Linked DNA regions of Rattus norvegicus. The protein of the gene in region 1 interacts with the protein of each later gene in a pairwise test. Links are inferred from orthologs where the notes say so. Each region holds a gene or a part of one and is shown in the gene's direction. Other genes may lie near its edges.

The links.
Region 2: the proteins of Lnx2 (region 1) and Lrrc8e interact in a two-hybrid assay, tested with the Homo sapiens proteins (3 studies listed by BioGRID and IntAct). The link is inferred for Rattus norvegicus from reciprocal best matches to the Homo sapiens genes LNX2 and LRRC8E.

The regions. Positions count from the first base shown.
Region 1 is NC_086030.1:13,163,961-13,167,772, forward strand, and holds part of Lnx2 (ligand of Numb protein X 2), read left to right. Parts: coding exon 1-117; intron 118-1,002; coding exon 1,003-1,202; intron 1,203-3,812.
Region 2 is NC_086030.1:7,374,857-7,379,211, forward strand, and holds the start of Lrrc8e (volume-regulated anion channel subunit LRRC8E), read left to right. Parts: upstream 1-1,290; 5' UTR 1,291-1,357; exon of another isoform or gene 1,358-1,361; intron 1,362-2,725; exon of another isoform or gene 2,726-4,355. UniProt on the Homo sapiens protein: Non-essential component of the volume-regulated anion channel (VRAC, also named VSOAC channel), an anion channel required to maintain a constant cell volume in response to extracellular or intracellular osmotic changes.

The DNA.
Region 1 (3,812 bases):
CGGACTGCTTGGGTACTGTGCCTGGAGAGAGAAACTCGACACCTGCACCTCTTCCTGTGTGGACCGAGGATCCCGGCCTGGACAACCCCGCCTTTGAGGAGAGCGCTGCAGCTGACTGTACGTGCCGCACACCTCTTCCTGGTTTATCTGGTCTCCCTGGCCTTTCCTCCCCTGCCCGTCCAGCATGCACTGGTGTCCTGCCAAGACAGTTACACTGGAGTACAGTTTGCATACCACACCACTCCCGCTGCACCCTGCAGCTCTAGCTGGCTGCAGTCCAGAAATAAAGCAGGAGTTTTACTGGAGGAAGCCGGTCCTCCCATCCTTACCCACTGAGACCCGCTACTCTCAGTGCGTGATCAGAACAGTGGTTGCAAAACCACAGATGCAACACGAACAACTCAAAAGTCACTACACTAAACACTATGCTAGTTCAGTAAATCGTGTAGCATTGAGAAGTAAATAAGCAAACGAAGCCAGGTTAAAAGCCCTGAGCCTGAAAGGTGAAGGCTCAGACAGCTGGCTACTGTGTGCCTGGGGGTACAGCATCCGACCCCACACCCCTGCTACCTGCACACCCACTAGGAGCACACAGAGCCTGAGCTGCTCTTCCTTCTAGAACTCATTTTCTCTAAGAGACCGTAAGTCGCCCTCTGTGTTCATGTTTCTTGACACATCTGTGACACTTTTCACCCCTTACCAGTCGGTGCAGCTATGGCCTTTTCTCTGCCGTCTGGGGTTATCCACCAGACCACGGCGTTTTGGTTTGGTTTTTTTCCTACAGTCTTGCGCAATCTGTGCTTGAGCATGGTGGCCGTCTGTTAGTGTGTGGTCCCTACTGGCTTAGTACATAGCAGTTATCTACTGATGGTTCCTGATCGCCTGTGGAAGAAGAAACCTTGGCTAATTTTCACCCTGTTTTATTAGCACAGTCATTGTTAACCTCTGAGACCCTGTGTGGGGAATCTGAGGTAAACACTGCTCTCTTGCTTGACTTGGCAGCCGTACAACAGCCACTTAGTTTACCAGAAGGAGAGATCACCACCATCGAGATCCACCGCACTAACCCGTACATCCAGTTAGGAATCAGCATCGTTGGCGGCAATGAGACGCCACTGATCAACATCGTCATTCAGGAAGTCTACCGGGACGGGGCCATCGCCAGAGATGGAAGGCTCCTTGCCGGAGACCAGATTCTTCAGGTAAGAGCTCCACTATACCTTAGACAGACAATTGTGGTGGTGTAGAAACTGAATTATAGAAAAGTTGGTTTTACTGTTTTTAAGTGTGTGTGTGTGTGTGTGTGTGTGTGTGTGTGTGTGTGTGTGTGTGATCCTGAAACTCAGTTAACCTGCCTCTGCCTCCTAAGGCTGGGTTAGTGGTGAGAGCCACCATACCCAGTTATTTTCTTCTCTCACTTTAATCCCAGTCTTATGTGTGACTGGGCACTTGGAAGGGGGATCCTCCAATACTCTGCCTCCATACTTCTGGCTTAGTCCAGGGCCACCGTTGACCAGGCCAGACTCTTCTTTCCCATTGGTTTTATTTCATACCCAGTGTTTTGTCCATCTCCTCCCTGCACGTCCAACTGGTCCCTCTGTTCCTTGATGACTAGATAAACAAGCTCGGAGGATAAATTCATTCTCTGATGCCCTGCCAGCATCCAGCTCTGGGTGTTCAGTCGCTGCTCTCCGTGGTCCCCAGAGCACTTACTTCCCTTAGGAAGACACAGCTGTCCCCCAAAGCACTAGCGTAAGACCAGATATTTTCCTATTATTAGAAGACATTATTGAAAGGACGGGGACAGCGAGTGTCCTGTTTCATAGGAAACTGCCCAGGCCATTTGAGTCCCTGTGATTTATAAAAAAAAGGGGGGGGATAATTTCTAAGAGAAAAATATTCACGAACAAAAGGAAGACTGACTTCTCAAAGCTCAAGCACAAGAACCGTCTCCCTTGACCCCATTCTGTCCTTTGCTGGGATCCTCCGAGGCCTCCCTCCCGCCTCCCCCTTTCCCTTTCCCTGCTACCTCTCCAGTCTAGGCCTTTGCCACTGCCTTCCTGACTCAGTGCGCACTCCTCCCTGGACTCCAGGTCGTTCACTTCCAGGGGGTGCTGCTGTGACCCTCATTGCCAATGGCAGCCACAGTTCAAGCACCTCATGCAGCCTCACCCTGGTTTTCATGACAACCCTGTAGCCCTGGCTGTCCTGGAACTCACTCATAGACCAGGCTGGACTCAAGCTCAGAGATTAGCCTGCCTCCGCCTCCATAGTGCTGGGATTAAAGGCATGCGCCACCTCCCGACTGCAGCCTCGCTTCCTAATCAGAGTTCTTCCCTAAAGTGCTCCAGGCACCATCCCAGCTGCTAGGGATACATTTTAAAAGTGAAAGTCTGTCCTGCCCTCACAGAACTTCTCTTCCCATGGAAGGCTGAGCATACCAGCCTTCCTGCCTTCTTGTGGGAAACCAACTCTCTCTCCTCAGCCTGCTCTCAGGCTGTGCTCTGGTCTGTGTGATCTCATCTGTGTGCTCTCATCTGTACACTCTCACGCTGTGTGCTCTCATCTGTACACTCTCATCTGTACGCTCTCACGCTGTGTGCTCACATCTGTACACTCTCACGCTGTGTGCTCACATCTGTACACTCTCACGCTGTGTGCTCACATCTGTACACTCTCACGCTGTGTGCTCACATCTGTACGCTCTCACGCTGTGTGCTCACATCTGTACACTCTCACGCTGTGTGCTCACATCTGTACGCTCACATCTGTATGCTTTCATCTGTGTGCTCTCATCTGTACACTCTCACGCTGTGTGCTCTCATCTGTACACTCTCACGCTGTGTGCTCTCATCTGTACACTCTCACGCTGTGTGCTCACATCTGTACGCTCACATCTGTATGCTTTCATCTGTGTGCTCTCATCTGTACACTCTCACGCTGTGTGCTCACATCTGTACGCTCTCACGCTGTGTGCTCACATCTGTACACTCTCACGCTGTGTGCTCACATCTGTACGCTCACATCTGTATGCTTTCATCTGTGTGCTCTCATCTGTACACTCTCACGCTGTGTGCTCTCATCTGTACACTCTCACGCTGTGTGCTCTCATCTGTACACTCTCACGCTGTGTGCTCTCATCTGTACACTCTCATCTGTACGCTCTCACGCTGTGTGCTCTCATCTGTACACTCTCACGCTGTGTGCTCACATCTGTACGCTCTCACGCTGTGTGCTCACATCTGTACGCTCTCACGCTGTGTGCTCACATCTGTACGCTCTCACGCTGTGTGCTCACATCTGTATGCTTTCATCTGTGTGCTCTCATCTGCACGCTCTCACGCTGTGTGCTCTCATCTGTACACTCTCTCGCTGTGTGCTCACATCTGTACGCTCTCACGCTGTGTGCTCACATCTGTACGCTCACATCTGTATGCTTTCATCTGTGTGCTCTCATCTGCACGCTCTCACGCTGTGTGCTCACATCTGTACGCTCTCACGCTGTGTGCTCACATCTGTACACTCACGCTGTGTGCTCTCATCTGTACACTCTCACGCTGTGTGCTCACATCTGTACACTCTCTCGCTGTGTGCTCACATCTGTACGCTCACATCTGTATGCTTTCATCTGTGTGCTCTCATCTGCACGCTCTCACGCTGTGCTTCAATAGGTATGTTCTCCTCTGCACATTGCACAGCCGATCTTCCCACCTGATCCCATTCCCTTGGTTTCTCGACCGCACTCCTGTGCATCATCCACCAACCTGAAGTTCTCCTGAAGTTTAGCTGTGTGCAGTCTTTCTCCAGTGGCT
Region 2 (4,355 bases), about 5.8 Mb from region 1:
CGTGTTCCTACAGAGGTGTGCATGTGTGTGTGTGTGTGTGTGTGCGCGCGTGTTGGGGGAATGTTCGTTTTCCCTTTTTTTGAGCAGCCGCTGCATTTTTTTAAAGATTTATTTATTTATTTATTATGTATGAGTACACTGTAGCTGTCTTCAGACACAACAGAAGAGGGCATCAGATCCCATGACAGACGGTTGTGAGCCACCATGTGGTTGCTGGGATTTGAACTCAGGACCTCTGGAAGAGCAGTCAGTGCTATCTCTCCAGCCCTCGTTTTCCTTATTAAGAAGGCATTTCACACTGAGAATGGATGAAGGTTCAAATTTACTGGCCTTCAGCTGAAAATAGGCAGTATTCTTGGTTTGATGGTCTACGACTGGGGTCAAAGTTTCCTTTAGTTTCTTGTGAGGCCTGGGGAGTGGTGGTAGTAGTGTCCAGGCAGGTTTTTGTTTTGTTGGTTTGGTTTTTTAATGAGCCTTTCAGAAGCTGAAGATTTAGCTCATCTGATAGAGTGCTTGCCTAGATTCTATCCCCCACACTACCGAAACCACACATGGTGGCACTAGCCTGTAATCCCTCAGCCTGCAAACCCTCTTGTAATCCTCTCAGGTGGTGGCGGCAGGGGGAATCAGAAATTCAAGGGCATCCTTGTCTACCGGAAGAATTTGAAGCTAGTTTGAGGGGAAGGGGTGGGGGAAGTAAGAACTAGTCCCACCCTTCCCCACCCCCTGGCCTGCATGCCCAACTCTACTACCTGGAACTGTCCAGGTTGGGCAAAGTGTTTGTCCCTACCCCAGCCCTCCAACATTCAGGATGAACCACGAACTTCAGCAGAGACAGTCAGGCTAGCATCCACATTGGGTTAGCTTCCTGTGTCTGGGCACAGCTCCTGATGGCAGACCACCTCTGGAAGAGGGATAGCCCTCTGCTCTTGGTCTTCCCCTGCCAGAAACTTGTGGTATCTGTGCCTCGATTGAGCTTTAGTACCAGCTGGGGATGCTTAAGGGTTGAAGGAAATCCTTCCCAGAGCCACTTTCCTGACACCTGTCCAGGTGGTGTACATCTCTACAAGATACCAGTTTGCCCCCGTGGCCAGGAGGTAGAGGGACTGCAGCCTTCTAAAGCCCCTTGCCTCAAGAATATATCGCCTCGCTAGCGATCGCGTGGCGTGGAGTGGGGTCGACCTGAGAGCGTCTGTAGTGAGGCGGGGCCGAGCAATCCCGGGGGCGGGGCGGGGCGGCTCCTGGCCCAGCCCGCCCTGACTCACCCTCTCTGGCCCGCCCGGGAACTCTGCGGGAGTCCGGGTCCATCTACTCCCAGTGATCTAGGAGTTGGGCCCCAGAGTTCCATCCCAGAGCAGTGAGTAAGTAGGGGGGCTTGGGAGGCTTTTGTCCCACCGTGGGGATTAACCTGGACCCAGGGAATGGCCCGGGGAAGTGGGGGGAGTCGCTCAGGTGTGGGTGGTTCCGTGGCCTTGGCGAGAGCAATTCCACACACAGTGGAAGCTGGGGCTGGGAGAAGGAGGGGTGCGGTAATCCTCAGCCGGGCACCGAAGGAGCCAGTGTCCTGGGATCCAGGCAGTTCGGGATCAAGTGAAGGAAGAGAGATCAAAATGCAGGAATCTTGATTTCCACAGCCTGTCCCAGCGTGGGGCGGCGGCGGTGACTGAGAAAGTCAGAGCTCATCTTAGTGAGCGCCCTAAAAGCTGCAGAACCCCACCCTCACAAACCTGCTCCCTTACACTTCAAGATTCTTATATTTGAAGACTCCAAAAGTTCCTTCCAAATCCCAGTAGAATAAGCTTGGGAAGGGGCTAGCCTAGGAGTCTACAGGCCCCCAAGACGGTCCGCCAGGGGTGACTTTCCCTTATCTCTTTAGCCCCTTGTAAAAAAAGGAAAGGGCGATTGAACTTTGAACTTTTTAGTTTTTCATGAGTTTAATTTTTTTCTTTACTAGTTAGTTAGTGTTCGTGTGTATGCACACATGGTTTGGCACTCTCATGGAGGTCAGAGACAACGTGTAGTAGTTGGTTCTTTCCTTCCACCTTATGGGTCCCTGAGCTTGAACTCCGGTCTTTTGCTTGGCCACAGGTGCCTTTGTCCAATGAGCCATCTCAGCAGCCCTGTGTTTGAGGTTGTCCTTGTTCTTGTTTGAGACAAGGTTATACAATGCTGGCTTGTTTCTAACAAGCTTGCTATACAGCTTAAGATGACCCCGGTGTGTTGGTCCTCTTGCCTCTACCCTAAGGAGTATTATAGGGATGTACACCCATCATTCCAGACTTTATGTGATGCTGGAAATTGAATCCAGGGCCTGAGCAAGCTCTCTATCAACTCAGCCACGTCCCTAATTCTGACTTTGTATTCTAAAGGTTGAGAATTCTGTTTCTTCCTAGCCCTTAGCATATGAACTACAGCTGGGGAGGTTGGCTGAGGTTGGGAGGCTCCCCTGCCTCCATTTCTGCAGCAGACGCAGTGCTAAGGTTTAGATGTGGGAAGGAGTTTGCAAGATTGCCCAAAGCCCGGCCTTCTGGGATGCCTTTCTCTGGTGTGGGTATGTATAGAGACCAGAGATTTACTTGAGATGTTCTCTTCAGTGGTTTCTCTATGTTTTTGAAACGTCTCTCACTGACCTAAAGCTCATTTGTTTTGGCTAGGCTAACTGGCCAATGATATTAAGGGATCTACGTACCACTGTGCGGTGTGGAGGAGGGTGCAGGGTGGGGTGGAGGAGCGGCTGTATAGAAATAGGTTACCCTGCCCAATTCTACATGGGTGCTGGGAATATCACTAAGATCCTCATGCTTGCGCTCAAATATTTTACTCACTGAGCCGTTTCCGCAAACCCACTTCTTACATAGAGGTTGCATCTCAGCGAGGGGTGCTTTCAATGGACGGAAAGGAGTGGGTGCCGCCAAACAGGAGGTAGACATTGGCTGGGCAAGCTCAAATAGTACTTGTAGCAGTGAAATCTTCAAGGAGCTATGTATCCTAGTACTTAGACTGAGGCACAGGTGTTGACGTTTTGGGTTCATCTTGTGCTACATAGCCAGCACCAGGCTAGCCAGGGCTACATAGCAAGACCTTATCTCATGAAACGTGAGGAAAGCAGGAGGGTTGGAGGGTGGGCCAGTGGGGAGAGCGCTTGCTGTAGAGGCAGGAGTACCTGAGTTTGCATCTCATGCCCACAGTGAAGGGACTGTAGCCAACCCATGCCTGGTAAACCTGGCTCTGGGAGGCCTTGCCTCTTGACATTCCCTCTGCCTTGCTAAAAACTGTTAGATTACATTCTGAAGCTAGCCCCTGAGGTTTATTTCCTTATCTGGCCACTTCCACCTCCTGAGGCTAATAACCAAGATAACAGTTATCACAGTATTGAAGTCCAGCAATCAGAAGCCCCCTGTAGCTCATCTAATTAACATAACCAATCAAATTAAACGCCTCATCCTAACATGGCTTCCTCCTTTACCTTTATAAACCTCCATTTTCCTAGGGACCAACTCTGTCCCTTTCTGTCTAGAGAAAGTCCTCTGTTCTCCAAGGTAAATCATCCCTTTCCCCTCTCCCTGTTCCATTCCTCTTCTACTTCGGCCTCCATCTTCTGTGTTTGTATCTCTTTATTCCATGCCCTCTGTCCCTCTGGAGCAAATAAATCTCCTTTGTGCTGATTTGTTCTCAGGGTATCTTGAGCTGACTCCAAGGTTCTCTACACACGAAAAAGCAGGGCACTGTGGCACGTTCTGGCAACCTTGGTGGGTCCCAGAATGACTAGCCAGTCCATGGAAATGCTGACCCTTAGATTTCAGGGAGAGGCCTTTTCTCAAAAAAAAAAAAAAAAAAAAAAAAAAAGGTGGGGGGGTCAGATAGTTTAGCAGAATTTGATAATCAGAATCCACACAGAGAATTGATGCCATGAATGCTAGAAGACATCCGACACCAACCACTAAACACATCTGGATCCTTCCACCGTCTCTGTCCCGACACAGGGAAGAGGGCCAGCCTTGCATCTGCCTGTTGGAATTTAATGGCAGGTTCTGGAAGATCTAGTTTGAGTCATGGGGTCAGACAATGATAATCCCCTGTGCCTCCCGCTGATTGTGTCTGCCCACATTATGTGTATGTCTTGTTCCTGAGAGCTAGGCAGAGGCCTCCTGTCTTCTGGCCTGTAACTTGTGAGGGTGGCCTGGCAGAGTTGGGAATTGTGCCACTGTGAGATGGCACATGGAAGGGGGAGGCAGGGGAGTTGATCCTTGCTTTTACATGTGTAGCATCCCTTGAGCGATGCCTCAGAAGGACTCTCCAAGGCTACCCTAGGTGACAGGAACCGGATGTGGGTATTACTCTCTTTGCTTTAAAAT